Linked DNA regions of Notamacropus eugenii. The protein of the gene in region 2 binds, or shares a complex with, the protein of the main gene of each other region. Links are inferred from orthologs where the notes say so. Each region holds a gene or a part of one and is shown on either strand. Other genes may lie near its edges. The genes, in order: TAF13, TAF8, TAF12 and TAF4.

The links.
Region 1: TAF8 (region 2) and TAF13 share a complex: the UniProt entries of both Homo sapiens proteins name them as parts of the TFIID basal transcription factor complex. The link is inferred for Notamacropus eugenii from reciprocal best matches to the Homo sapiens genes TAF8 and TAF13.
Region 3: TAF8 (region 2) and TAF12 share a complex: the UniProt entries of both Homo sapiens proteins name them as parts of the TFIID basal transcription factor complex. The link is inferred for Notamacropus eugenii from reciprocal best matches to the Homo sapiens genes TAF8 and TAF12.
Region 4: TAF8 (region 2) and TAF4 share a complex: the UniProt entries of both Homo sapiens proteins name them as parts of the TFIID basal transcription factor complex. The link is inferred for Notamacropus eugenii from reciprocal best matches to the Homo sapiens genes TAF8 and TAF4.

The regions. Positions count from the first base shown.
Region 1 is NC_092873.1:287,197,127-287,204,630, forward strand, and holds the start of TAF13 (transcription initiation factor TFIID subunit 13), read right to left. Parts: upstream 3,005-7,504; 5' UTR 2,836-3,004; coding exon 2,809-2,835; intron 816-2,808; coding exon 737-815; intron 1-736. UniProt on the Homo sapiens protein: The TFIID basal transcription factor complex plays a major role in the initiation of RNA polymerase II (Pol II)-dependent transcription.
Region 2 is NC_092873.1:103,086,158-103,093,957, reverse strand, and holds the start of TAF8 (transcription initiation factor TFIID subunit 8), read right to left. Parts: upstream 3,025-7,800; 5' UTR 2,969-3,024; coding exon 2,924-2,968; intron 1,179-2,923; coding exon 1,022-1,178; intron 1-1,021. UniProt on the Homo sapiens protein: The TFIID basal transcription factor complex plays a major role in the initiation of RNA polymerase II (Pol II)-dependent transcription.
Region 3 is NC_092876.1:69,738,195-69,746,173, forward strand, and holds the start of TAF12 (transcription initiation factor TFIID subunit 12), read right to left. Parts: upstream 3,002-7,979; 5' UTR 2,969-3,001; coding exon 2,897-2,968; intron 2,231-2,896; coding exon 1,979-2,230; intron 1-1,978. UniProt on the Homo sapiens protein: The TFIID basal transcription factor complex plays a major role in the initiation of RNA polymerase II (Pol II)-dependent transcription.
Region 4 is NC_092872.1:501,253,030-501,259,958, reverse strand, and holds the start of TAF4 (transcription initiation factor TFIID subunit 4), read right to left. Parts: upstream 3,015-6,929; 5' UTR 2,887-3,014; coding exon 2,583-2,886; intron 1,949-2,582; coding exon 824-1,948; intron 1-823. UniProt on the Homo sapiens protein: The TFIID basal transcription factor complex plays a major role in the initiation of RNA polymerase II (Pol II)-dependent transcription.

The DNA.
Region 1 (7,504 bases), about 180 Mb from region 2:
GGAATTTTCCCCTTAATTCTTTCTCAGCCTGATACCTTTCCCAATGCGTGCCTTTCCTGGCTATCTTCACACAGTTATATAGGAAGCATGAAGATCAGGGTAGGGGAGAGGTATGTTCCTGATATTCAAAGCTTGAATTCTAAATGCTTTCTTACAGAAGTATTATTATCAAGGATGGGTATTACTACCAAGGGTGGTTAAGTTGGCATCACTGAGGTACATTATGGGCAAGACAATTTATGATTTTGTTGTGGGTGAATTATAAACCTTCTATAATTAAGAATACAGTTGACAGTTGCTATGGCTGAAAAAAATTAATCATCCAGTGGACAATCTGGTGATAAGATTCTCTAAACTTACCTGAACTGGTCTTTAAATAACAGGCATACAATCTATTTTCAGACCTGTACATGAAGGCTTTGTAGCTTGCTAGGACCTACCAGAGCTTACAGTCCACTGGCACAGCTTTCAAGAAGTGAGGATTGCCGTCATAAAATAATGGGTCATCACAGCAAGATATTAGTGGAGTACATTAGAAGTCAAATAGGCTTTTATAGATGGCTTGAGACCTGTAAATCACTATTTATAGCATAACTTCTAAGGAAAGATTCTTTTTGTTCCCAGCAACAAACTAGTAACTTATAAAGCACAACCCATTTTTAATTTAGAGAATGCCTATATATGTTCATCTTCAATGCATGACATCCACAATCAAAATACTAAATATAATACTTACATTCTTTAGAGAAAAGTCTTTTCCTTTTACCCTGTCCACCATCTGCTCCTCCTCCTACATCTTCAGTATCTTCCTCAAACTAGAAGAGTTTAAAGAATTGAGATAAAGAAGATTTTTTAAATGTTTAATAAAAAATTTATTTTCAAAAATGAACTAAAATTGGAAGGCATCTAATAGGTCATGGATGCAAATAACCATTTCTATATCCACACAGAAATCTCTTTACAATGTAGAACCCTAAAATCCTGAAACTAAATACAATAAGCCTTAATTTGGTGAACAAATGGTTTACCCAGCTGTTGCATGAGTGAAGGGAAGATTAGAATGTAATAGGGCTATTCATTTTCCTGTTGAATAGTTAAATGTATTTTGTAATAATGAGAAAAAAATAACATACACATAATGCTATATAAACAGCTAAAACATATGTGCTTTATATACATTAGCTAATGTGGAGAGATGAAGGATTTGGGTGACTTCATCTATCCAAGTAATTCTTGGTGTAGAGACTCCTTGTTTTACTAAAGTAGGTTAGTGACTTATCTCGTGTAACTTAATGAATAGAGAACTGGCTGGGGTACTGAGATTAGGTTAAATGACCTGCCCACAATTACAGTCAGTGTGTACAGTTTTCCCTTTTTTTCAAAAAAAATTTTTTAAATCTGTCTCTTAACTTTCAATCATTAATCTTGTTTTGTCCTCTGCAGCACAAAAAAAAGTCTTTTTTTTTCCTGAGTGCCTTTCAAATCTTTGAAAAGAGCTATCCATGTCTTTCCTTAGTTTTCCCTAAGCAAAGCACACCAAGTTTTCAAACTTTCCTTTTATGGCAGTGATGTACTGGAAAGTACAGTGGACTTCGGAGTCAGAAAACTCCCAAGTTTTCTGGCTTTGCCTTTTACTATGTGCTCTTAAGCAAGTCTTTCTGTCATCCTTAAACTAAGGGTACCAGATGATATCTAAGCTCCTTCTGTCATTTTATGCAAACCATTCCAAACCTCTCACTATTCTTATCACTTTCATCTAGATGAATTCCCATCTGTTGATGCCCCTCTTAAAATAATGTGGTTGAAACTAGGATATCCTAGGTTGAATATCTTGTCGTCTAGATGAATTCCATACAATTTTAGAGGTCGGGCAGTCCTCAGAAATCATCTAGTCCAATACTCTCATTTTGTAAAGGATGAAACTGAGACCTTGATATGCTAAATGAATGTTTCACGGCCAGAGAGGGAAACTCAAATCAGAAAAGAGTTCTCCTGATTCCCACAGGTTTACAGTCAGAAACAACATTTAGTATCATCTCCGAATAATGCATATACACAGAGGCTTTTAAGATTAAAAGGCTTTTTTTTCCCACAATGATCCTGGCAGGGAATTATCAAACAACCAACATTCATTCATTATTCTGCCTGTCACGTGCTAGGCACTGTGTTTGACGCTAGGGATGTGAAAGCAAAAATGAATAGTCTCTACCCTCAAAAAACTTAGGTCCCATGGGGGGAACAGATAACTTGTGCCTATACAAATACGTTCAAAATATAGACACAAAATACAACACACTAGCAGGGGATCCGAAAAAGCTTTAATCAGGAGGTAGCTGCTTAATTCAAGTAAATACTATAAGTAACGTCTTTCCCTTTATGTAGAGAAAGAAAGGAGTTCGTTCAAAGCCCAAAGGAGTTAAAAGAGACTCGGCCAAAATCACGCGCCCTTGGACTCCACAAATACACCGGGTCTTTTCCACGACACTGAGAACAGAAAGAGTATCGCGGCTTTCGGCGGCCTCTCCCCACGTCTGTGGGCAATGTTGTGCAGGCATCACTGACTGCTGGGGCATTTTTCTACGCCGCCCGCACAAATCCAGTTCCACAGTGAACCGAGGGAGAAGGGGTAATGTGGAAGCCGGGCACGCAGTGCAGAGAAGCGACCGCGAGCTCCCGGGGCTCCCCGGCCTTGGGCCTCAGCACGCTCCCGCCCGCACACGCTTCTAGGCCCTAGCGGCCGGGGGCCGCTGCTCGCTCCGAGCTGCGGAAAGCGGAGAGGAGGTGAGAGAGGGAGGCCTGCTCACTCACAGTAGGGTCCTCCTCCTCATCAGCCATCCCGTCCCCGGCTCCAACCGTCAGAAATTCCTCTCTTGCTCGGAGGGCGGGGGAACTCGCGAGCTTCCGCTTCCGTCCTTCCGCTTCCTCACTTCTTGCTTCCTCACCTCCACGTCAGAACCGCATCATCTGATCGAACCGCTCCTTGCTGCTCGGGAGAAGGCGCGCACACGCGGAAGTAGAAGCACGTCTCGACACGCACGCGCACGCATGCCTGGGTCTCTGATTCGTCAGAGACGAATGGGGAGGGGCTTAGGCGCGTGACCCTCAGTGATTTGAAAAAAATCTCTCAATCAGCCAGTTGTGGATTGGGGGACGGGGAGACTCGGCAGGGATGCGAATATAAAAGCTGGAGAATCCCTCCTTTCCAGTTTAGTGACAAGCAGCAGGAAATCTAGAGGCAGGGTGCCCTGAGACATCCTTGGGAGCCTTCTGTCCCTACACACAAAGTGGGAAATGACCTCCAGGGCGCCGCTGGATGGTGGAAAGATCCCGGACTTGGGTTAGAGCGGAATAACGGGGTGCCCAGGAAAGACTAGCATTTTCAGAACTATCCATCCACCTTTGGAGCCCACCTTTTACCTGGGACGCCATGAGCAGCGCCTGTTCGGGGTAGCTGACCCCTCCGATGACCCTCAGTGAGTTACGTGAAGGCCTACCCTGGTGCAGCCCGAAGAGGAGAGCAGTGTGTTCCAGCTCTCAGGAAGGTGGCTGAAGCAGACCCTGTGGAGGCCTTAGAGCTGGGTCAGACATCAGAGACGCCAAGGTCACCCGCTGCATAGCTAGTCCTCCTGACTTTTGTCTTGCGGCTGGACTTGGATGACTCTGGAAGAGAGAGTGAGGCTGACCACTTTATGCAACTCTGCCTCACTTAAATCCAGTTTACTCCTAAGTCAAGACGGCAGAAGTCATCACCGCCATGATGCCCCTGGTCCTTTTCAAAAGGGAAGGATGGACCACCTAACAATAAGGGGAATGCATACAGATAGCTATAAAACTGGCAATTGCAAATACGAGTAGTAGGAGTACCTGGAGAAATTTGAGGGGAGAGAAATCCCTTTCAGACTGGAAAGTAATGTGTGCGGGTGAGAGCTGTATTTTCTGCAGCTTGAAAAAAATAAAAAGTAAAGGCTTGTTTTGGTTTGTTTTGAGAAAGGTAATTTGGGATTGCATTTTTTTATCTGACTTGGAGAAGAATTGTAGAGAGACTTCTACATTCCCATCAAGAAAGTTCCAATATGAACTTAGAGAAGTTCTTTACCACTTTGTCCTGTAAGGCAGGCTAGGTGGTATGTAGTGCAAGACTCAGAGTGGGGAAAACCTGAATTTGAATGCTGCCTCAAATACTTAAGTTGTATGACACTGAGAAAGTCGCTTGCCTTCTCTGTTCCTCAGTTTCCTCATCTGCAAAATAGCCTCTACTTGCCAGGATTGTTGTGAGGTTAAAATGAGATCATATATGTCAAATACTTTGCAAGCCTTAATGCACTATGTAAATTCTGTTATCATTATTTCCCTGAAAGTTACAGTTTCCATTTATGCTCCTAATTTTCTGTCTTTGTGTATATTTGCACGTGTCTTTTACCTATTAGGTTGTTGTTCAGTCACTTCAGTCATGTTTGAGTCTTCATGACTTTGTGTAGAGGTCTTTTGGCAAAGATGCTGGGGTGGTTTGCCATTTCCTTCTGCAGTTCACTTTACAGATGAGGAAACTGAGGCAAACAGGGGGAAGTGACTTGCTCAGGTCACATAACTAGTAAATGTCTGAGGCCAGATTTGAACTCAGAAACATGAGTCTTCTTAACTTCAGGCCTGGCACTGTACTTCACCACCTAGCTGCCCACTTGTTATATATCCTAATTCTAGTCTTCTGATCCTTAAGATATGTGACTCTTTTTAACGTAAGAAGATGTAAAACTATTTTAACAAAAATATGTGTTTTTGTATATTCATAATATGAGAGGTAGTACAATATAGTGGAGAAAGTGGCAACCTAGGGTTCAAGATGACCTGAATTTAAATTCCCCTGACATTTACCTACTATATAACCTATCAGTGTCCCAGGCTATTTTCTAAGACTATAAACTGACGAATAGTTGCTTGTCTAAATTGAGAGAGTTTCTTCACTGTTATCTCCCTATGCTCTCAGATGAAATCATATGTCTGGGACCCCCCAAAAAGTATTTACCTATACATGTATGCATGTATATGCATATATATGCATATATGTATATATACATATATGTATCTATAACAAATGTATATGAGTTACTATTAGAAGGTAACTAATGTCTTCAGGCAAAGTAACTATCTGATCTAATTACCATTTTTACCAGAAGTGATCAAGCACTCACAATAAGAATTTGTTAAGTCTCAATCATGTGCCAGGCACTGTACTAATCACTGGGGGAATGCAAAGACCGAGGAAAAACAGCTCTGCCCCTCAAGGAACTCCCATTGTAGTGGGGAAGACAAGATGCACCTGAATAGATACATAGAGATAGCCCAGTTGAAAGGTAACCTTGAAAGTTTCTAGCAGCTGGGGAGTGAGAAGGGAGGATTGGGAAAGTTCTACTACCTAAGATGAGATTTGAGTTGGATCTTAAAGAAAGCCAGGAAAATTAAGGCATAGGTGAGGAGAGAGGACAGGCATTCTAGGAATGAAGGATGGGCAATGCAGAGATGTGCAGTGAGGAGCTGGAACGTGATATGAGGATATGAGAAAAATAGCAAGTGTGGGTCCACATAGCCAGATTTTAGAGGATGTGAAGAGGAGTGAGGTGTAAGAAGATGAATGATAGGAAGGGGCCAGGTTATGAAGATCTTTAAAAGTCAAAGAAATGACCTTATTATTTGATCCTGGAGCTTAAAGGGATCCACTGGAGTAGGTGGGGGTAATGATCAGACCTCCTTTGAGGAAAATCACTTTGTTAGCTATGTGCAGGGTGGACTGGAATAAGGAGAGCCTTGAGACAGGGACAGTAACTAGAAGGCTTTTGCAGTAGTCTTGGTGAAGGTGAGGAAGGTCTAAACTATGGTGGTAGCTGTGTGAATAGAGACAGAAGACCTATGGGATAACTTTCTCATGACCTGCTCCATCTCATCTGAGTAAAGAGATGGTCATATCCTTGATCTGACCATTACCTACAAGTGTATTGCTTTCATGTTCATGAACTCTGAGATACTATTATCTGATCATAATCTATTGTAATTCTACCTCTCCATCCCTGTTGCCTCTTTCCAGCTGAGCCATCTCCACTAATCCTGATGAATATCTGGTTACTGGACCCAGATGGCTCAGGAGGAGAAAGTGAGGTTAGTGGCCTTGCACCACCCTCCCTTACTCAAAACAAAGTCAAGTGCAAGTCATGTCTTCATTTCTCTGATGTCATGGTGTTCAGCAAAAACAAAGGATGAACACAACCTGTGAGTAGACTGAGCTACCTGAGTGGGGACCCAGCTCACACTCTCCCTTCTGTCTCCCTTTCCCCTTCCTTTGAGGTTTACTGGCTAGATGTCCTTTCTTCCTTCCTTCCTTTCTTTTCTTCCTTCATAGAACCTTAAATCCAGTGCATTCTGAAGCCTCTACTTCATGACCAGCTTAGACTGATTATCAATAGTAACAGTTTCTGTTCCCTCCCAGGTTGATTTAGTTATTTTTTCTTTGTTCATTAAAAGGGCCATTCCCTGACTACTTCTTAAAGAAGCCTGTTCACTCAATGGACATTACTTCCCTATGAGTACCTGAAAAGGTCAGCCGAAGAAGGCCAAGGTCTCCCATTGTGTCCTAGACCATCTCCAATCATCCTGATGAATATCTGGTCACTTGACCTAGATTGGCTCAGGAGGAGAAAGTGAGGTTGGTGACCTTGCACAGCCCTCCCTCAATCAAAACAAAGTCAAGTGCAAGTCATATCATCATTTCTCTGGTGTCATGGTCTTCTTCCAAAACAGAGGACAAACACAAGCCTCTTTCCAACCTCCAATCCCTCAACCCCTCAATTTCCTAAGATATAACCTCTGCAATAACTACCATCCCTTCCCCATCCTGACCCTTTGGTGAATCAGTTCAACTCTACACTGTGCACTACTCGAGTCCTCTGCCCCCTTATAATTTTGCCCTGCAGAGCCTGGGCACCTAGGTGGCAAAGTGGATAGAATACCAGACCTGAAGTCAGGAAGACACTTACTAGCTGTGTGACCCTGGGCAAGTCACTTAACCCCATCTGCCTCAGTTCCTCGTTTGTAAAATGAGCTAGAGGAGGAAGTGGAGAACTACTCCAGTATTTTTGCCAAGAAAACCTCAAATGGGGTCATGAAGACTTGCATACAACTGAAACGATTGAACAATAATAACAGAAGAGCCTTAGCTTTGGATTATTCCCATCATCCACTGTCATTACTCCTATATACATGCTACTACTAAATGAAGCTAGAAAAAAAATCATGAAACTGCACTGACGGGATCCATTACATATGTGTAACTGGGCTTTTACTGTGGCAAGACAATCCATGTACACCTTGCTAATTAATTCACTCTCCCACTTACCACAGTGGCTTTTCCAAACCTTTTTACCCTTCCTCAAACTTCCCATGGCACTTCTTTCCCTCACTCTTTCAACTGAGAACTTTGCCTTATACTTCACTGAAAAAGTTGAGACTATTCACC
Region 2 (7,800 bases):
ATCCTGTATGAAGTTTGTCTATACATGTCTATATGTTGTCTCCTCCATTAGAGTATAAGCTCCTCAAGGGCAGGGACTATCTTTTGCCTCTTTTGTATATGCAGCACTTAGCACTGCACCTGGTGTTTAGAAGATGCTTAATAAATGCTTTCTTACTGATCAGTCCTGTCACCTCATTTCTCCCTACCAAAAGCAGCAACCTCTGCACTCTAGAATCCATGACCCCAATTCTTGCGGAAATTACTCCGCTTTGGAATTTCTATTCACAGGCTGAAATGTCTTGAGTGAATATAAATTTGCCTTCCCTACGATATTTGCACAGCCCCAGAAAAGCCCAAATTAGGCTATGCTTTGTATTCCATCCAGCCGTCCACAAAGGCCACCTTGCCAACTACTCTGCCAATGCACAAATACCCTCCCCATTCCTCTTTTTCCACTTCTTGATCTGGGAAAAGTAATCAATAATACCAAAGCTTTTGGAAAGGGCATATTAATTGACTGCCCTACGGATCAACTCAGCATTCTAGTAACTCCCTGGACCAAAACTCCTTTAACTGCCCACTCTCCTCTTTAAATACAGAATGAACCCACTTATCTCACTTATTACAGAATGTAAGTTCTTGAGGGCAAGAACTGCCTTACTTTTCTGTATTTGTATCCCTGGTGCTTAACAGAGTGTTTAACATATATAGCAAATGTTTAAAAAAGTGTATTTGTTCATTCATTCACTAAGTCTTAGCTGCTTCATAAGCTTCTGTGTTAGAGAAAAATAAATTATCTGTTGACCAAACTTTTGCTGAGTATATCCAAATTTAATAAGTACATTCTTGGACCAAAGTTCATTGCTTAGCTCATATCTGAAAACTCTGAGAACTGCAAAAGTTTATAATCCATCAGCAAAACCATTGAGAATTCAAGGCAACCTCCACCACAAGGAAGTTTCATGGAGGTAGGTATTTAACTTTCAAAAAAATTTAATGGACTGACTTTGCAAAAAGCAGCTAGTATCCTCCATACTCACAGCTTTGTAACATCTCAGTTAATGTTTCCACCGATGCTTTCTCAGCACTTTCAAACCCAGCCTCTGTCAGCAAGGAGCTCACAACTACCTGCAAGGTCCGCCTGCGTGCCAGGTAGTAGTTGTCTGCAGGGGTGGTGGCCTGCTTGCTTCCTGATCTCTATATGAATCAACAAAAGAGAGCATGGTTTTAGTTTACATATTAAAGGTGAAATCACATACTCTAAGAATATAAAACTGACCACCCATGACAGATGGGAAATGAATGATAAATGCCTACCAACACCTCCCTTTTAAAATGCAGCAACTCTGCCATTCTGACTTGTGCTTCTGGCTAACTAGCTTAATCACTGAGTGTTCAAGAAGTGCTGAACCCTGGAAGCTAATGATTCCTTCCCTCAATGTATACCCCAGAATAAGGGCCTCCAGGTCTTCATAAAATTTTTTCTTTCCAGGGATGTACACACTGATAATGAGGTTGATGCATGAATTGTCAGACCTAGCTCAGTGTTTGGGAGGATCCGAAGAAATCTATGGGAGAGAAGAGGTATTAGACTGACTACCAAACTGAAGGTCTACAGAGCCGTTATGCTGACCTCATTGTGGAATTCCTGTGAAACCTGGACAGTATACCAGCACCATGCCAGGAAACTGAATCGCTTCCATTTGAACTGTCTTAGGAAGATCCTGAAGATCACTTGGCAAGATAAGGTACCAGACACTGAGGTTCTTACTCAAACTAAACTGCCAAGCATTCATATTCTGCTTCAGACAGTGCAACTCTGATGGACTGGCCACGTTGTTCAAATGCAAAACATATGCTTGCCAAAAAGACTTTTATGGAGAACTCACACAGGGCAAGCATTCATACGGTGGTCAGAAGAAGCGATACAAGGACACCCTCAAGGTGGGAGACACACGAGGAGATACTGACACTGGAACACTCAGCATGGCATTCCCACATCAGAGAAGGTGCTGTGCTCTATGAGCAAAGCAGAATTAAAAGCGCTCGAAGGAAACTCAGGATGCACAAATTCAGACTATCCACCCCAAATGTTCACATGGACTATTTGTGTCTGATCTGCGGTAGAGCATTCCGAGCTTGTACTGGTCTGGTCAGCCATAGTCGGACACATCTAAGCTTGACTCTAGCACAGTGATGTCACTTTGGTCCTCTCTGAGAACAAAGGACAACAACCAGCCCCAGAACGACTCCTCTCCTTCAGTCTCAGAGCTCCTCATTTCACATACGATGAGAAACACTTTGTAAAAGGATTTCATTGCCTCTATGTTCCCTCCAAGCACTAGAAGTCTCTGATGTTATGAAAAGAGGTTCAAATCATGACTCAGACTTTTAGCTGTGTGACCCTGGGCAAGTCACTTCACCCTGTTTGCCTCAGTTTCCTCATCTGTAAAATGAGCTGGAAAAGAAAATGGCAAACCACTCCAGTATCTAATGGGGTCACGGAAGAGCTTAACTGAATAGCAAAAACAGGAATTATTCTTCTCAGCTGTCACAGGGCCAAGTGGTTTAACTCGCACCGTTGCAAACAGATTTTTATAACAAGAAGGACGCTGAAATGTTCTTTTAAATCCCCCACCAGCTGGTTTTTCGATTGGCAAAAAATCGGGCCAATAAGAGAGAAGGCAGGGCAGCTTGAGCCAATTAGACGCTTTCTCCGGAATCCCCGCCTCCTACTGGGAACTAGCCAATTGAGGACTCGAGCGGCCAAGAGCTAGAAGAGGTGGGGGGAGGGGTACACTGGAAGGGGAGGCCTTTGCCTCGGCCAGAGTGGCTCGGTGTGGGAACTGACTCCAGAGACCCCCCAATCTTCGCGCTGCTCCGTTTTGCTGAGGCCAGGGACTAAGTCCTCATGCCCCTGACCCACGCCCTCTGATTCTTACCGCTCCTGAGCTACCGGCTCCGGCAGTTGCAGCTGTGTCAGCCATCTTGAATACCTGAGAATGTGCATGTGCGCAGGGCAGCCTGGGAACTGTAGTCCTAGGGGGAAGCGGGGGCGGTGCAGGGATAGGAGGGAGGAGGGAGAGGGGTCGGGCTCACAGCTCCAGTTTCCAAAGATGGGCGTTGTGGTGGGTGTGACCAGAGTCCGTGACTTCACGTGGCCTTACACGAGAGGATAGAGTGCACGCTGGCTTGTTAGACCACTAGGAGCCTAAAGCCTGGGAAATGCGCCCTCAGGTGACAGCAGGAAAAGGGAGCTTAGATGTGTTTCGTTCACCATTGAAACCCCAGCAGCTTCATAGCCTCCTGGAGCAGAGACACCTCAGTGTCCCAGGATCACAGGCTTTGGACTTGGGGCACGGAATTCTTAATCCTTCTTGTGTATCTCGGACCCTTTAGGCACATCTAAGGACCCCTTCTCAGAATCATGTTTTTCAGTGCGTAAGAATACAAAGGATTCCAATTAAGTTAAATACAGATAATCATGTTAAAAACAAACCACCAAGTTCATGAACCCCAGGTTTAAAACATCTCTGCTAAATTAAAAAATTCTGAGATGCTACCTCACACCTATTGGATTGGGTAACAGGACAGAGGGGGAGGGGGAGAAACGTTGGAGGGGACGTGGGAAAACTGAGACTTTGGTGCACTGTTGGGGTTGCGAACTGATAAAATCATTCTGTAGAGCAATCTGGAACTGTCTAGGGAGCTATGAAACCAGGCATGCCCTTTGACCTAGCAATACCACTACTAGGTCTGTATACCAAAAGAGATTTTAAAAAGGAAAAGGACCTATGTGCACAAATATTTATAAATAAATATATTTATATATTATAAATGTAAATAAAATATTTGTAGCAACTCTTTTCTGATGGCAGGGACCTGGAAATTGATGGGATGGCTGAACAAGTTGTGTTATGTGATTGTGATAGAATACTATTATGCTATAAGAAATGATGAGCAGGATGCACTCAGAAACCTGGAAGGACTTACATGAACCGATGCAGAGTTAAATGAGTAGAACCAGGGGAATAGTGTACTCAGTAATGTTGAGGTTTAGGGGTGCTCCCACAGAAATAGCAGGGTCTTGCCCAAATGAATTTGACTCAAGCCTTCTTTCAGCCAAAGAAAAACAAAGTTGCTTTGTTTTTTTTTAAGATTGGCCATATTGAACAGACTCTTAAGGAATCTGAGCATTTGTGACTCTTGTATTGACAATTGGGCCAGATACAATGTGAGCTAGATTGAATCTGAACGCCTTCATGGAAGCAAGATGAATCTTATATACAGAAAGATTGTGTGAGAGATCTAGAGTTGGCCAAGAACTCCAGAGTAACTAGAGATGTAACCAGTAACTACAGATGGGGTTTAAGGAGGGTCCTAGCCAATGGAGGGCTAGGCTAGGTTAAGCATAACAAATTTGGGCATGAAAAGCCAAATCAAGTGGGAAGATTCAAAGAGCGTTCAAGCAGGTTCCTAGAGCCTGTACCCCATCAGTAACAGAAATACTGTAAGATGATTAGCTGTGAATGATTTAGCTATTCTCAGTAACACAATGATCCAAGACAACTCTGAAGAACTTAGGATGTAAAATGCTATCCATCCCCAGAGAAAGAACTGATGGTCTCAGAATACAGAGACTTTTTTTACTTTATTTTTCTTGAAGGGTTTTTTTTGGGGTCTATATTTTCTTTTACAATATGACTAGTATGGAAATTGTTTTGCATGCCTACACATGGATAACCTATATCAAATTGCTTGCCTTCTCAATGAGCAGGATGAGGAGGAAGGGAGAGAATTTGAAACTCGAAATTTTTAAAATGAATGTTAAAAGTTGTTTTCACGTGTAATTGAGGGAAAATAAAATACCAAATATATATATATATTTTTAAATACCTCTGCTTTAGTGGGATCTTTGACATAATTTAGTTCAGCCCTTCCTCTCCCCCCCCCTTTTTACAGAATTGGAAATCGAGATCTGGAAGAAGTGAAATGCACAAAGTGCAGGGATCCAGATTTCCAAGGCTTTTTCCACTTCATTGTTAGGAAACCACACCCTTCGCCAGCAGTCAAGAGACAAGAATTTTTGGATCCCAAACCTTTTGCCCTGAGTCCTAGAGGTTACTAAAGCTTCAGTGACTAACAAGAGCTCCACCCCTTCACAACGAAGTCTACAGCAATTCTAGGGTTTAGAGATCAATCCCTTTCTCCACAGAACCGCAGAATATTCCTACTAGAAGGGACTTTATTATTAGGACCATAATATTCAGAGCAGGAAGGGGCTTTTGAGGTGATTTCGTCCAACCTTTTTATTTGACAGGAGAAACTTGCAATTCAGGGCGGCATCGAAGTGATCAAAATGATATGCAACTAAGTAGCAAAGCCAGAACACTCCAATCACCTTTGGGGCAGGACAGCGCAGCGCCCACGTACAGAGTACTCCTCTGGGTAGAGGAGGGTGCTCTCCTCACCCTGGGTGACAACACTACCACCTTCACGCCCACACCTGTGCTAGAGCGGCCCTGAGGGCAGCAAGGCCCCTTCCCCCCTACACCCACCCCTCCCCTTGGCTCTGAGAAGCAGGAGCCAGGGGGCGGGGTCCCCTCGGGTCCGTGCGCACCCCGGAGTTCGGATCCGGGGCAGCCCCTAGACCGCGGGGTTAGCAGGCTCTGGAGAGGGGGCCACGGGGGAGAAGGGAGGGGGGCGCGATACCTCTCTACAGCAGGAACCCACAGCCCCTCCGTCTCCCCCCCCCGCCCCCTCCTCCCCACTTCCTGCCCAACTTCAAACGTCGAATCCCTAGCGCAGCACCGAAATTGTAAACACTCCGCTCGAGCGCGGAGGAGGGGTCGAGATGGAAGCGGTCAGGGGCAGGTAGGGAGTGATCTCTTCCTCGGCTCCCCACGTCCAGCCCGGTGTCAGTGGCGGGCCTACCCCAAGGACACAGTTCTGGAGCTGGAAGGTCCATGCCGGGAGGAACAGGGTGCGAAGAGGCGACTCCAGGACTCACCTGTTAGGTAGGCATCGGAGCTGTGGATGGAGCAGGTCTGGGGGAGGTGGGGCTCGAAACGAGTTCGTGCAGGTCGGGCCAGCGCCCATCCCTCGGGAGCACCTGGGGCTGGGGGGTTGGAGAGTCCCGAGGGAAAAGGCGTCTAGGAGGTAAAAAGAAAATCCCGATTTAAGGGGAGTGGGGAGGGCTCCGAAGCGTGGGGCTGGGGAATCTCAGGAGGGACTAAAGGAGCTCCCGAGGGCCGAGGGCTTGGAAGGGAAGCTCCGGTCCCCCAAACACCGGTTGACCTCGATCATTTCCTTATCATTTATAAGAGGGTATTATTGATCTCAAACGTCCCGTGGAACTCTGAATCCTGTTGTTTTTCTGTCCTGCGCAAAGGGTTCCCATTCACCCTCTCCCAGACAAAAGGTCGGAGTGCCTGAACTAGGTTCTGGGACCCCAAGCTATGTATGCCAATTCAGATATATGAGTTTATTTGGATATGTGTGAATATATATGCATGTGTATGTCTATATGTATTTATACACATATTTAGGACCTACTCCGTGCAAGGCTTTGTGTCAGAGACACTAGGAATACACAGATGAGTAGTAAACAAACCCTGCCTACTAGGGTTTGTTTACACTTTAAAAAGAGAGTACTTTTACCCTTTAGCTCATTTCAGTAACCTGATGTCATCCCCAGATTTCTAGAGCTTGCATTATTCAAAAAATGCTTATGTATCAAGGAAACCTAATAACAAATTTAGTCAAAGAGTCACTCGGGTGGGTTCTGGTCCCAGTTCTGCCCTATCCAGTGCCCGGATGTAGACTCCCCATGCCTGACCGGTTGTCACCTCCTGCATTGATGACTCGAATCCCTCCCTCCTCAGATTTCTTAAAACACTTTATGGGGAACCTTCCTTTGCAGTTATCATAGTTTCTCTTGTATCAGAGCTAGTTGGGCATGTCTTTCCCCGCTGTTACATTTTAAGTCCTTCATGAGCAGGTCCTGTGTTTTATCTATTTTTGTATCATCTCATAGTAGTTAACAGTAGTGCTTTGCATATGGTAACTTAATAAATATCTGAGTTGAATTAAATTGATCAGTCCTTGGCATTTACTTAATGGGCAAGTGATGTTCCCTATTTCTTTTCACCTCACAAAGTGTTTGAGGATTTCAGTGAAAGACAAGAACTGCAGAAAAAAAAGTAATGTGTACTTATTTTAGAAAGGGACAAAGAAAAACAGAGGAGGGAGGGATTATCTCTCAGCTCTTGGGCAAGGGGCTGTTAGAGATCTCCAGTCACTCATCCTGGTAACTACCTCTCTTCCAGGAACCAAACCTAGACTTTTATTGATATTCAGGACTCTGGGGAGACAGATCATACAGTAGTCCTACCCCTAGGGGATCAGCTTCTTTTCTCTGGGGTTCCAGGATTCCCTCAAATCTTGGCCCAAGAGCCACCCAGCTAGTTACTCTTAAAGAGCCTGCTCTGGGCAAGAGAAATAGATGTCGTACCTCTCTAGCCACATAGCCTGCTGTAGTGGATAGAATATTGGATTTGCAGCCTTAGCACCTGTGTTTGAATCTGCATTTGCTACCAGCTCCGTGACCTCTGATATTCACTTTGCCTTTGTGGACCTTAGTTTCTTCATGTGTAAGGTCTTCCAGCTCTAAATCCCATGATTCTATATTTTCTTTTCTGGGTTAACCTATTAAAACCTAGTGTCCGTGGAGATGCTTGTCTTTTTTGTTTGGAACATGCTGGAATCTGAGATAATCAAGCAACTCAGATGTAAAATTCAGGGCTCCGTGCCCTTAACC
Region 3 (7,979 bases), on a different chromosome or scaffold from region 2:
AGGTAAATACATAAACAGGTCAATTTGTGATGAGAGTTAAAGACATGGTTAATGTAAATTCTGCCCTGTAGCTGTCTGTCCAGCAATGCAAGGCTCCAAGGTAACCCCCCACCACAGGACCTTGGTTAGAAAATTCCTCCTCCCCCTAGCTCTAACAGCTTCTGAGGAGCATAGGGCTCTGGCAGGAGCACACTTGAGGAAGAACAGGTGGAAAGGACAGCAATGCCTTGCACACCTGGAGAAGCAACGTAAACCAGGAAGGTGTAAAGATTCTGAGAACTTGGGGGACTGCAGAGATGCCCGAGGACCCCAGGGCAGGCAAAGGCACCAAGGAACCATCTAAGTTCTGCTTGCTGTGCTCCACTGCCCCCATGGCCACCTCCTGGCTTTGTTGACCAGGGGGAGGTTTCCTGCTAAACCTGACCTTTTATTCTCTGCACAAAGGGCCTCTTTCTGAGCTTCACTTGGGATCAACAGCCTTACCTTTCTCCCAGTTGTGCAGGCTAGAAGCGCTGGGGGTCTGATCTTTGGTTCATCCCACTCTCTTTTCTCATATCAAATTACTAAGTTATACTGATTCTTCCTTCAAAATGTGTTTTGGATTTGTCCCTCCATTAGATGTTGCTCCCCTGACTCATGTCTCACACCTGGGCTACTAGAATAAGTTCCCCACCTCTTCAACCCACCCTTAGGGTCCCTCAAACTCCCAGTGCAGCAGAACAAAATTAAATGTAACCGGAAGCATTTAACAAAATAAGTAAAAATTCATTACGCAACAGTGGAAGGACTGCTGGATTTGGAGACAAAGAACTTCTGTTCAAATCTGACTTAGACTCTAGGACCCCAATTAACAACTCTGGGCCCCAAGTTGCTCATCAATAACACAGAGGTTAGACTACATAATGTCTGACATCCTTTTCAACTCTAAATCTACAATCCTACCTACCTCCTTAGAGGCAGCTAGGTGGCTCAGTGGATAGAGTGCTGGGCCTGGAGTCAGGAAGACCTGAGTTCAAATCCAGCCTCAGATGTTTATTTACAAGAGCAAAATCACTTAACCTCCATTTGCCTTAGTTTCCCCAACTGTAAAACATGAGTAATGACAATATCTACCTCACGGGAGAGTCGTTCAAATGAGATATTTGTAAAAATGTGCTTAGCATAGTACCTGACAGATAGTAGGTGCTGTAGAAATGCTTATTCCCATCCCTTCTTTTTCCTGGCTTATTTCACAATCCTATCTCCCACTCCCCTCCACCTTATAGCCAAGTTGGCCTATTTGTTTTCTGCACTACGCTGTGCCTTTGTATAGACTGTCTGCTGTAAGTGGAAAATTCTCCCTCCTTATGTCCAGCTCCCACTCAAAGCTCAGCTTCAGGGCCCCCTCTTTAAATCCCCCCAGCTGCTAGTGCTCTTCCCCTCTCCCAAATTATTCTGTATCTAAAGTGTGTATATGCTGTAGACTCTTTAAGTTCCTTGAGGATGAGGACTACCCTGTTTCTGCATCCCTAGTGCCTAACATATTTTCTTTTTTGTGGTCTGGATCTTTAATTTCATTTGTGCAAAAGCCTGTTGCCAGTGAGGACACTTCCTCTGCCAGTGCTGATGGGCCATTCATAGTTTTAGAGCGGTGATTTGCCCAGGGTAACAAGCTGGAGTGTCAGAGGCAGGACTTAATCCCAGTTTGTAATGACCAAGGCTATCCCTCTATCTACTACACCCTTCTGCCTCTCACCTGCCACACAGTAGGTGCTTAATTATAACAACTGAGGTCTCAGAATGGTGGCTGGGTTGAAGAAAATATAGAACTAAATTAAGAAAGCTACAGCTCAACTGACTCAAACATGCTTATCCTATTCTTTTCTAATAATTTACCCCAACGCTTGTATATATTCCCTTTATCATAGAGAAATAACACCGGCATTAGTAAACAATGAACAAAGCTCCCAGAAGCCCATGCCGAAAGGACAACTGATACCTGATTGCTTTCTGGACTAAGACGCCCCCCTGCCCCTGGGGGGCCTGGCATCTTTCCCACTGTGGTACTGTTGGCCATGGACCCCTGAGGGGGGGTGCTGGAAGGTTCCGGTTTTATGGATGAAAAGTTGGAGAGATTGATCAGGGCTGAGGGGCCAAACTGGTTCATAATCTGTCGAGCTTTGGCCTTCAGTTCATGGAGCTTGTCAAGGTCCTGTTTTTTTTTGGGATTATGGGGACCGAGGCCAATCAACTGGGGAAAGAAAACATAAAAATATATTTTAGAAGCATCAGTAACAAAGGGTGGACATTTTAAAAAACTGTGTGTTTGTTAGATTTTTTCAGAATCTGAGTTCACCTCAAATGGTCACAAATTAATACCTTTGATTATAAAAATGGAGAGAGAAACGAATGCATAGCTTTTCCCTGACATTTGGAAATCATCTCTCCTTTAACAACTCTCTGAAAGGGTCTTCAGAACAGAAAGAAGACAAACAGACCAAAAAGTCATACACAGACACTGACTGGAAAGAGTAAGATATTTCTGAGGTTTATATAAAAACAGAACATTTGGTGAAGACATAGGATCATCTGGGGAAAATATGTGTTAAATTCAAATAACCAAAAAGAAACTCCACTTATACACCATAACCACCTCTGCAGAAAGGGGCACAGCCCCAGTGATTCAGAAATTAGTAACTCATGTTAACTGACACACCACATCATGCACTGACACTCAATGCAGTTATGTCCAATAAGCACAAAGCTTAACAATTTTAAGAGTAAGTTATCTTTTGGTTCTGTTAATCGTGCCAGATCAGCCTTTTAAAAATGGCCTGAGCCTGTTAGCATGACAAGATGGTGCACACTCAAAAACTTTGGCCACAGATGCCATGGTCGCATTAATTAGCTTACTTACAGCTATCTGAGCGTCTAGATCTTTAATTACATCAGCAACTGCTGTGAGCCCGGTGAAAGGAGGAGCAGCCATTGCCTAAATCTTTCTGAAAGTAAACAACTGGCACCAGACAACTTGGGCTATCAGGTCTTAGCCAGAGAGAGGAGGCAGTGGAGGCTGCTTGTCCTCAATGAGCACCCAGAAAAACGGCCTGCCTGGCCACACGAAGCCAGTGTTATTAAGGCTTGCTGCCGGGGGTGCCCACCAGCTCCTGGAAGGGTAAATGTCTATTGTTAGGAATGAGCTCAGAGCAGATAAAACTGACAGCAGCCTACCAACAGGTGGGGATGTGCAGTCTGGCTGTACCACCACAGGGTTGGGGCTGGAATCAGTATCAGACCAATCCTTTCAGAACTTTGGCAAACTCTGAGTAGTGCATGTGTGCACATGTGTGTGTGCGTGTATACACATGTACCTCTCTGCCCTATCCCTGACCACGACTCTAATGTGTCCCTGTTTAAAAAGTGCATTCTGTTGTCTCACCTCTCAGCACTAGCTTACTAATGGAGTGCTCACAATGACTGGTTTCACACAGGCAGACTCTGCTGCTTCACTGTAGCACAGTGGTTTGTGGGGGCTTATTCCAGTGGAAAGCAAACTGGCTGGTCACACCACATTAGAAAGGCTGCAAGAAGAGGCCCTGTGATGCACACTATGTGTTGGCTGTCCAGGGACCAGTCTTGTCCAAACAAAGATTGGATAAGATGGCCTCTCAGGCTCCTTCCTACTCTGAGATTTTTTTTTTAACCATAACAACTCATGAAGACTACACACAAATGGGTAGAGAGGTTGTGATCTGTGTTGCTGAAATACATATTTTTGAGGTATTAAAGTAATGATGAAAAGTGTTCTACAAAAAGCTACAAACTGGCCAGAGAACCCATGAAGATCAGTGCAGACGTGCTCCCTTTAAACTCTGCTGATTCCATGACAAATCCTACAGGTACTTGAAAGATCCTTGTTGGAGAACATAAAGTCAGTGTCTTCTTTCTGGCTCTAGGCTCATGTTTCAAACACTTAAGATGAAACTTCTAATATGTGTGGTGGGATAAAAAATAAATAAATTGGTTACCTAGAGGTTTCTCATTAATGAACTCTCTCATGACAAGACTTGAACTGCATATAAACCATGAATGACAAGCACAGGACACAACATGAACAATCACACAGTTAACTCGAGAGTGACCTAAGGCATAATCCCAAAGAGATTTCTCCTTCACCTGTTCTCAGAACATTTTGTATTCTTGCACATTTAGCACTTTCTAAACTCTATTTACCTTATTACAATTTCACTTTTCCGACTACAAGTTAAGATCCTCGAAAGCAGGGACATATCGCAATGATCATCTTCTCTGCTCCACGGCTCTATGCCCCATACAAGGTAAGGGACACTTGCTAATTGAATGCATGTATTGGGCTTCTAGATTCTCACAGGTGTTATCTACATGTACTGCCTCTTCCAGATTATAATCCAGTCCTCATGATCATGCTCAAATGTCTACCAGGGGTAGGGAACCTGTGGCCTCGAGGCCACAGGTGGCCCTCTAGATCCTCAAGTGCAGCCCTTTGACTAAATCCAAACTTCACAGAACAAATCAAACAAAGATTTGTTCTGTGAAGTTTGGCAACATGCTCAACTATTACAAATCTTGTCAATTCTGCCTCCAAATTTACCATGCACCCATTTCCTCTCTTCCATTAGCACTAACTTTATGAAGAGACCAAATCAACAATAGAGAATCAATGAATTTCAAACTTCTTAGCTTAGTATTCAGAGATGTCCATAATGTGGCCTCTTTACATTCTTGAAGAGCTAGCCTCTAAATCCCACCTCTTCATTTCCTATTTTGTTGTCCTTTTGAAGAATGCCTGGAAACCATGAACAGTTTCGCAAGGACAAACTTGACTCCAATTTACTTGATGAAGGCTTACTCTTAAGGATATTTTACCCCCAAATTAATGTTTCTTTTTCTTCTGATGATGATGAAGATGCCTTCTGTGTTGCTGACCTTGGAGACATCCTCAAGAAACATGTGGGATGGTACAGAGCATTTCTTCGAATATATTTTTTATGCTTCAAATGTCACAATGGCAGAGCTAGAAAGATGTTTGCTACTCCAGGAGCAGGGTTTGAATGTCCTATGCTAGCAAGACTGAAATACCTCCAAAGGGCATCATCTAGGCACCTTTAAGCAAATGTCACAAATTAAGTACACTGACAACAAGGGAGAGAAAATGACTTCTGACAGTGAAGTCAAGTGAATGAAAACTACCAGAGATCACTGGACAAAGTTCATTTTGCAGACTGTTACTGCTAACTCCAAAGCTGTCTGTCATCTACTTGTTGAGTTTGGTGCCATTCAAAATAAGTAGGCTGTCTCTGATCTGGAAAAAACCAAAACACTGAATATGAATGTTGCCGGAGTCAGTTTCATGTGTGAAATGATTGCATGGATCCAGAAACCTTTGTATAAGCAGTTTCTGATGCCTGATGTATCTCTGACATTAAGGTTGTCCACCTAATACTGGTTGGTGGTGGCTTATCTGGTTCTGAAGTGGTCGAGCTTAAATATGAACAGATAACAAGTGTAATCCACCCAACACTGGTCAAATATTTTCCTTCTGAATCTAGAGTCAGACATATCTGACCAGAGATACACTATGTTGCATTCCTTTTGGACTTGGGGTTAACATCATTATCCAAAAACCAAAAACCAAACAACCTATATTAAAGGAATACAGAGGTTCTGATGAAGAAAATGATGAAAATGACCAAACCTTTATGTATCATGTGAATGATGGAGAATATCAAACGTTGAACAGCATCTCATTTGATCAGGCATGGTAAGATGTGGAAGACACTTAACCAGATGTGAAATATTACTCTTCTAGCATATGAGGACCAATAGGTTAGTGTCTGGATCAAATTGTGCAATGCTGTGCTTTACCAGAAATACATGTTGAAGCTTGTAGGTGGTTTTAAAACATGGGTGCTTGTCCTGTAGCTACTTTCCCTTTCAGTGACTTCCAGAGCCCCTCTCTACATTGTGACCTCTAAGCCAGAACTGCCATGCAGGCAACAAACCAAGGAGCAGAAGCTTTCTAAGAAGTCAAGGCCCAGGATGGGGCCACTGTCTAAGGCTTGTACAGCAGAATGGAGCATCATTCCTCAGCATCATTTGTACTTCAGCTAGTATCAACAGAGAGAAACTGTTGATAGCCATTAAATGTAAGTTTAGTTTGAATTGAGAGGATTTGGGGAGCGTATTAACTTAATTCTTAAGAGTTTTTAAATGTGTTTGAAGAGTAGCGTTGACTCAGATGCAACAATATGGAAGAGCAGGAGATGAGGTCATACTGGTTCTAGTATGACATTTGTTTTATGTGGATTTTTATTCACTGTTCAATGCTACTAAACGCTTGCCCTCAGCTGTCAAGCATTTGTAACTTGTACAATGGTAGAACAGGTCTGCACTCAAGAGTTTGTGACCTATTTTTCAAATAAAAGTATATTGAATTTTTTTAGTGGGTCTTTGTTTCAGGAAATTTGGGGCCATTAAAAAAAGCCCTGCAACTACCCAAAGTCAACCCCAAAATTCTAAGAGGCATGATGGTGTGGTGGATAGAATACTGGACCTGAAATTAAGAAAACATGGGTTTGAATCCCAGTTGAGAGACTTACTAGCTGTGTGACTTTTGGCAAGCAGACTCTGTATGCCAGTTTCCTTATCTGTAAAATGAAAAGGTTAGATTCAATGACCTCTAATGTCCCTTATAGTTCTAAAAATAATATTCTATGTATGAAAAATCATATAAAAATATTATCAGATAAGTATGTGGCCAGAAAAATAGATGGGCTGGTCACAGAGCAAAAGACACTAGACACTGATGGACAGCCTGCCTGATCCACTGGTATCCACAGAAAGCTAAGAACACCAAGCTCCTACAGACTGGGTGGAGCACTCTATGGTGAATTCATGGGAAGATTAGTGTGAATGGATTGGCAAAAATGGATGGGTTGCAATCTGCTTGATGAAGGGAATTGCTTATATTTAATAGAACCCATATTCAATATGGATATGTTATCTCCTTACTGCACTGCAAGGTCTTTAAGGCAGGAACCATGTCTTTTCTATCTTTTCATTCCCCTATAATCCCCACCCCCAAAAGAAGTACTGATAGGGCATCACATAAACGTAGGGCCCATGCCAGGGGGAGATGTGGAAGGACTACAGGGAAAGAAAGAAGATAGGAATCAGAGGATGATACATATATTTATAGCCAGGAAGGAGCCATCTAATCTAAAGGTCATTGAATCCAATCCCCAGGTTGAATTATGAAGGTTTTATAAAGGACATATGACCTGTCCAAGATCACAGATGTAGTAAGTGGCAAAGCTAGGTTTTAAGATTGGGAGCCTCAAACAAAAGTGGAAAACATAAAGGACCAGTTTCACGTGGCCCTTCAGAGAGGTCCAAAGGGAAAAAAGTCAGCATGGCAGGAAGTTGTGGGCAGCATGAGTCATGTGGTCTACAGGGAATGTGGGATCTAGCCAGAGGGATAGATGGCTTGATGCTCTCCACAAAGAGTTTTCCTGATTCCATTGTGGTTTTTGTTGCTGGGTTAACTAAAATCTGCCCTATAATGCCAAAAGGTATTAAGGACTATTAGAAAAACACAGACCAGCTGGAGTGATGGTACATGCTTGTAATCCCTTCTTCTAGGAGAGGCTGAGGCTAGTCGTTCCCTTGAGTTTGGGAATGCTGAGCTGTAGTATCTTAGTGCCAAATGGGTGCCTACATTAAGTCAGGCATTAATATAGTGAACGCTACAGAGGGTGGGGCCACCAGGCTATCTAAGGAGACTTCACTGGTCCACATCAGAAACAGAACAAATCAAACTTGCATGTAAATCAGAAGGGGAGCCAGGCTTGTGAGCGGCCACCATGCTTCCAGCCTGGGCAAGATAGGGAGATCCCATTGGGAGAGGGGTTAGGAAAAGAAGGGAAGATGAGGAGCAAACATTAATATTCTCAAGGGAGAAC
Region 4 (6,929 bases), on a different chromosome or scaffold from region 2:
CAATTTAGGATTAGAATGTTAACCCTGAATGATGTGATCCTTGTAGACTCATTTTTATGAGTCAGTTTAGACTCAGTTCACTTAAAAACTGTAATATCATTCTGATATCTAAATACTTTTTTAAAGTATACCCTGAAAAGAGTAAAAGCTTTCAAAGACTTAATCAAGCAGCCCTAAAAACAGGGAGTGTAGTGTGTCATTCTATCTTTCTGTCACCTTTGGAAACCAGGTCCACATACTCCCCTATCTGAGGAACTCCTCTAACAATTGATGACAAACACAAAAATTATATGTGGTGAGGTAAAGACTCATCATACCTGACTGCAGAAACTACTAATGGGCAAGGCTACATCTAGAACTCTAATTTTTTAAAAAAAATTGAAATCCAAGATTGTTTTAATGTACATTCGCATAGCGAAGTAATTTTTCTCCTGTGACATACCTGCTGCTGTAGAGCAAGTAGCCTGCTTCCTCTGGCAGCAGGGGCGTACAGGGGCAGAGGTTAAGCAAAAGTCAAAGATGCAATGAAGAAGATTAAATAGGAATATGCATCAGCAGAACACCATGATGTTATGGGTGGGAAGATCTGAACACAGACTTAAAATGCAAATACAAAGATTTAAGCAGTACAAAAGTCTGTAAAGCAGGTCTACTTAGCATGTCCCAGTCACAAGAACCAGCATAACACACTTCTCATAAAACTGGCAAAAAAGGTAAATGGCCTTACCATTTTAAATGAGAACAAGAACTTCCTATGACTTATAACTAAAGTATCTGGATCATTTGCCTTTCACCACAATAAATACTTCAATGCTTTTCTTACCTGGGGGTAGCTGAAAATTTTGAATATTTGTAGGATTCTGAGGTGGCTGAGGCAGACGGGGTGCTAAAACTGTAGGAGTCAATGTTGCTCGGATACCACCTGTAGTAGCTGTTGGAGTCCTTGGCAGACTTTGTGCCACTGTGTTGGCAGTGCCTTTAGCCATCCCTGTAGGGGTCCCAGGAGCTGGAGGAGGAGGTGGTATCCCACTAGGATTGGGGATGCCACCTTGCATAGTTTGCCCAATGATCATGTTACCCCCTGCGGTGGACTGGCCACTGGTTGTCAACGTTTGCTGCTGAGGCACTGCCTGCACTATAGTTTTAGGGGACTCTGATTTGATGACCTGTGTGGTGGCTGTGGCTGGCATGTTGGAGCCAGGTTGGCTGTTCACAAGGGATGCCTGAAGGGAAACTCCAGAACCCACAGTAGCTACAGAAGCAGCAGCAGTAGCAGGCAAACTCCCCACACTGATAGTTGAATTGATCACAGTATTGCTCCCATTCTGGGTGGCTGCAGCCACAGAAGCCGCAGCAGGTCCTGCTGTGTGAATTGGTGGCCTCACTAGTGCCACGGTAGGTCCCGCACTTCCAATGCTGGAGGAGGAGATAACGGTGGGTGAGGAAGAGGAGGACACAGCAGTGCTGAGGAAAGAAGAAGTCTGGATGACAGTGTTAGAAGAAGCTGAAGGCAAAACAGCATTGACAGCATTTCCCTTCCCCAGCGGCAACACCACAGATCCTGGTCCGTTGTTGACGAGGGTGACAGCAGGTGCAGCAGCAGCAGCAGCAGTCGGAGTCCCAGCAAAGGCAACAGCACTTCCTGAATGGTGAGAGTTCATCACGACGTTACTCCCATTCAAAGTTTGCACCGTGGCGGTGGTACCGATCTTGCCGTTTCTGGAGGACAAGGCGGTTGCCATGGTGCTGCTGATGACCACCGATTTGCCCTGACTGATGGCAGCAGCCCCTGGAGCAGCAGCAGCAGCTTCGGAGCCTGCTGTGGAGCTGCTGGTGCTGGTGCTGCTGCTGCTGGTGGAGGTGGACGAGGAGGTTCCATCCAGCAGAGCTGAACCCTGGGACCGGGTCGTGTTGTGATTAATAACACCCCCTTGCACTCCTCCGGCCCCTGCAACAACAACAACAACAAGGAGAGAATAAAATAAAAAAGAGAGAGCGGGGGAGGGGGAGGAGGTCTGGGGGGCATTACTTCAGCCAAGACGTGCTAAGATATTAACGGGAGACACAAATTGGCGAGTGAGAAAAATCGAGGGAGCAAAACATCAGTTCTGGAGGGGTCCCCCTTCGGAACTGAGCGCTCTCCCTGTCCCCCAGTTACTGATACCCCCCACACCTGAGGTGTCAGAACCTTGTGCTCGGGATGTCAGCTCCTCCAGACCCCATCCCCGTCCGCCCCCTGGGATGGCTGGACCACCCTGGGGAAGGGGGGTCCCCTCTCCCTTCCCTCTACCCCACCAGGGTCCCCTCGCTGTAGCCAGGGAGGGGTCTTGGACCCCCCATCCCTTGCCCCTCTGCCTCCTTATCCCCCATGCACCCGCCCACGGAGGGTCCGGGGCTCCCCCGGGCCCGGGTAGCCCCTTCACGCCGGGTGCCCCCGGGAGGGTGTCAGGCCCCCCTCTGGGGAGGGGGGTCGGCAGGGCTGAGGGGGATCGGCCCTGGCTCCCCTCTCTCGCTCCCTCTCGGCTCCCTCTCCCCCGGCCCGGACCCGCCGCCCCCGCCGCCCCCCGCCGCCGCCGCTCTACCTGCTTTTGTGATCTCCTGGGCCAGTCCCATTTTGCTGCTCTCCGTCTGGACATTAGCACCGGCGGCGGCGGCGGCGGCGGCTCCTACTACTCCGGCTCCTCCAGGGCTGCCGCTCACAACATGGTTCCCCAGCCCCCCGGCGCCTCCGGCCCGGATCTCGGGCGTCCTGTGAGGGTGATGGTGGTGATGGGCCGTGCTGGCCGCCAGCTGGGACTCCAGAGAGCCCACCATGTCGCTCACCACTTTCTCGTCCACCTCGCTGTTGAAGAAAACCTCATCCAGCAGATCCGAACCCGCCGCCATCTTTTTTTACTCCGCCGCTTTGGCTAATAGCGACTGGGTGAGGAGGAGGGCTGTGTGGGGAAGGGAGGGGGGAGGGGGAGGGGAGCCGGGGACGGGGAGGGGAGGAGGGCCGCCAGGGAGGAGGGAGGCGGGGAGGTTCCTCCGCGCCCGCCGCGCAAGCGCGCCACGGCGGCGCGTCACCGCGGCCCCGGGATTCCAGCCCGTCCTGATTGGCTGCCCGGCGCGCTTAAAAGCGACGGCAAATGGCTGCGAGCGTTATTGAAGAGTGGAGAGGGGAAGCAGTCGGGAGACCGAAGGGCGGGGGGAGGGGAAAGAGTGTGGAGGGTGGGTGGGGAGGGAGGCGGCGACGACCTCGGCTATGGTGGTGGCTGGGGGGAGGGGCGGATGCGGAGCCTTTGCCGCTGGCGGCGGCGGCGGTAGCTCGATGCCCGGGGAGCGGTGAAGGCGGCCCCGGGGCTTGGCTGCGGAGGGGTTGGAGCGGAGCGCCGCAGCCGGACCGGGCGGGGGAGGAAGACGAGATGGGGCGGGGTGGAGGAGTTGGTGTGGGGCGGCGGCGGCGACAGGCGGTGGTTCACTCTTTGTCTTTGCTTGCTCCAAAATGGCTGCGGGTTGAGTGTGGCTGGAGCGAGCGAGGGGTGAAGGGCGCCACCGCCCCGCACCTGTGCCGTCGCCGCCGCTTGCCAGCTGCGTGTAACTGAGACACCCCCGCCCAGCCCGAGCTCAAGGAGGAGGGAGGGAAGGAAGGCGGGGGAGCGGGGACGGGGATGGGGGGGATGGGGGACGAGGAGAACGGCGGTTGAGGCCGCACACCCCGAAGCCAACCGCCATTTCACCCCGCGCGCTCGGCGCAGCTTCCCTCGCCTCTTGTCGCCGCCACCCCCGGAGCCCCTGCTCGGGTCGCCGTCGGACGCCCTCCTGAATAAACAGGGCTGCGCTGTGGGAAGAAGCGTCTGGGGGAGGAGAGAAGAAAGTGGGGCGGGGGAGGCTGTGGGCTGCGCCTCGGCCTCGTCACTCGAGTCGGAAAAGGAGGCAGTTGTTGGGTTGTTTTGGGGGGGACGCCGCCGCCTGCTCGGGACCTCGGGGCTGCTGGCGTGGAGGCAAGAAGGGGGTGTCTCTCACTCTCTCCCTTCCACTCACGGGTGTCCTCGCCCCCCTCGGCGCTGCCGACAACTCCCCACCCCCTTCTCGTCACTGACCCCCACGGAGTCTGCAAACCACCCCCCCACCCCGCTCCTCCTCGCCCGCCCCCCAAACACACACACCCCTTTCCCTTCCTCGGAAGGGGAAACACCCTCAAGAGGTGGAGAGATTTGGGGGGAGGCGGGGGGAGTCCTTTTCGGAAGAGTCATCCCGGCTGCACCGCCTCCCGGCTTGTTTGTGTGGGGCTCCCCCGCGCCGGGCTGAGGAGGAGCCTAAGCCTGGAGCAGGTTGAAGGAAGGAGGGAGAGATGGGGGGGGGGGGCACCGAGGCATCGCAGCAGAGCCTGGGCGGCCCTGGGAGGCTTGGCTGCGTCGGGGAGAAGACTAGACTTGGCACAGGCGACAATGCCTTTCCTCCCGCGTTCCAGAGGAAGTGGGGTGGGGGTGAGGGGAGATGTTCCCGGCCAGCCGGGGGTCCCACAGTGGCGCATCCTCGGGGCGGGAAGGATGCGGAAAGAGGCTCTGAGAAGGCAGCGAAGGGAAATGAATGTACCTGACGGGGGAGCAGGCCAAACTTGAACTGTCTTCGGGTTAACTTGATCGGAAGTGACATCTGAAAGGATCATAAAGCCTGACTCCCCGATCCCCAGGGGGTTACTGTAGGTTGGTTTTCAGTCCTTTTTTACTTATCTCGGCACGCAGGAAAACTGTAAACACAGGTTTACGAGCGTCGTCCCGCATGTGTGCCTCCTGCGCATCCTCATGCGGAAGGGATAATTCAGGGTGATTTCCTCACTTTAAAAACGCAGGTAATTACTGAGTAGAGTAAGGAGCCTGCCACCTAGATTATGTCACTTATTTACATACCGCCTCACCCTCCTGTGTATTAATGGAGACCCATGATGGAGAAAGAAAACCTTTTTAACCTTGGCCTGTCATCTCCCTCCACCACAGACCTGTGAACAAGCTGCTTAATAGAATGAGTTGTACTTTATTCCCTTACCTCTTGGTGGAGATGCGACTAGCAACCGGAAATGCAGGGGAGAAACGAGGTGGAAAAGTCATCTCTAAGTGAATAATATAACCTTAAATAATCACCTTGATTACTCCTCTAAAAAAAAGTCGGAATCCTGACGAACTCCAAAAGCATGAGATCTTCCATCTTAGGATGACAAAGTAGCGTAGAAGGAAACAATGGTGATTACATGGTAACCTCTAGTTTCATTAAACTACAATGGGAGGAATGTGTCCTGCTTCTGGGGCTAAAGAGGGGCTGTGGGCAGGCAAGCTGTGTGGGTGGTAGTTTCTTTTTGTCTAAATATGGAAGGTCAAATAGTGGCTACACTCTTCCTGTGGAGGAACCTTAGTTTTTAAATGAATGGTGGTAGCTCTAAAGAGTTAGCTGTGCATTTGCTGTTCCTTGCTCAGTGTTACTGTAATAGAGTTTCTTAGAACTAGAATTATAAGTGTTTTAGTGCTTTGTTGGGGGTGGAGAAAAGTTGGTAAAAATGTTATTTCCTTTGTTTAAAATGTGGTAATCCCCCCCCCAAAAAAAAACCAAACACAAATACTTTATATTCTAGAGTGAGTGGTTTCATTGCTTGAGCTGTTGTGTGGAATTAGTAACTGTTTGGGTCTTACATTGATTGCTACCCTGAATGCGGACACTTGAAGTATCAGACATCTCTATCCAAGGGTTCATAGAGATTCTAGATAAATTCCCTACCCTCTTATCGTTGTTCTTGATTTATTTTGTCTCATCTACCAAGTATGTATTTATGCATGCATTTCCAAAGTAAAATGGGTTTCTCTAAAATTTATGAAGACTTGTGCTAGTCTTCCTGCCTTTCCTTATTTATGCCTGGGGAAAGTCTGGGAGGCCCTGCTTTTATTGGAATTACTTGTCTATCCTTTAAATTCCAACTAAAATATCAACACCTCCATGGAGGATTGTAGCAACCCTTGTAAACTACATGACTTTTTACTTTGCATTTCATTAATGCACTTGTGTAATATGGTGTATTATGGAGATTTTTGTTTGGTTCTTGCACTTCTACAGAACTACAGGCTCCATTGAGGCATACATTTCCTACTTAAATTTTATCTCTTCCAGTGCCTTACTGGTGCACAGCACTGTGTTTAAATAAATACAGGTAAATTAAATTGAAAGGTTATTGGTGGGAATTGGAAATGGGTTTTAGAAGGACCTATATGGTCAAGGAGAGTCACTAACCCAAAGGTTTTGGAGGATTTTTGAAAGGATTTCTCCTGAGCCCTGGAGTGCTAAATTTAAAATATCTTTAAGTGCTTTAACCTTTCAATACCAGGAATGCTCAGTACTATGATCATGCCAAGATACAGCCCTGATATGCATACTAATTATATCTAATAGTTTTCTTCTACCTGACAAAACGCAACTTGAGTAAATCTTTGCCCTTTCCCTTATTTTTCAGTTAATAAAATTGATCCAATGAACCTTTATATAGCACTTCGTCCTAATGGTGTTGTTGTCAAGCTTTCTTTGCCAGGTTCCAAATGTGGCATCATCAACTATGATATTATACATTTGAATATGTTATCAGGCAAAAAACAAAATCATTCACATACAAGGAAAAGAACATTGGACTCATAAGTTTGCACTAAAAGCAAATTATCTAAATCAACTTCAATATATTTTAAGCACCTCCCTGCTAGGTAGGCCCCATAAGAGGTGCTCTTGGGGAGGGTGGAAGGTGGGAAAGTTGTTTCTTTGTATTTACAATAATCAAGGATGTGGAATTATTGTAAAATGAACTTGTTAATGGGACTTGGTACTTTCTTTTTTCAAGAAACACTAGTAGACCAAGTTCCTATGGCTTGGAAATTGCCTCAGTCTACTTTTCTTTGGCAATGTGGTCTCCTCAA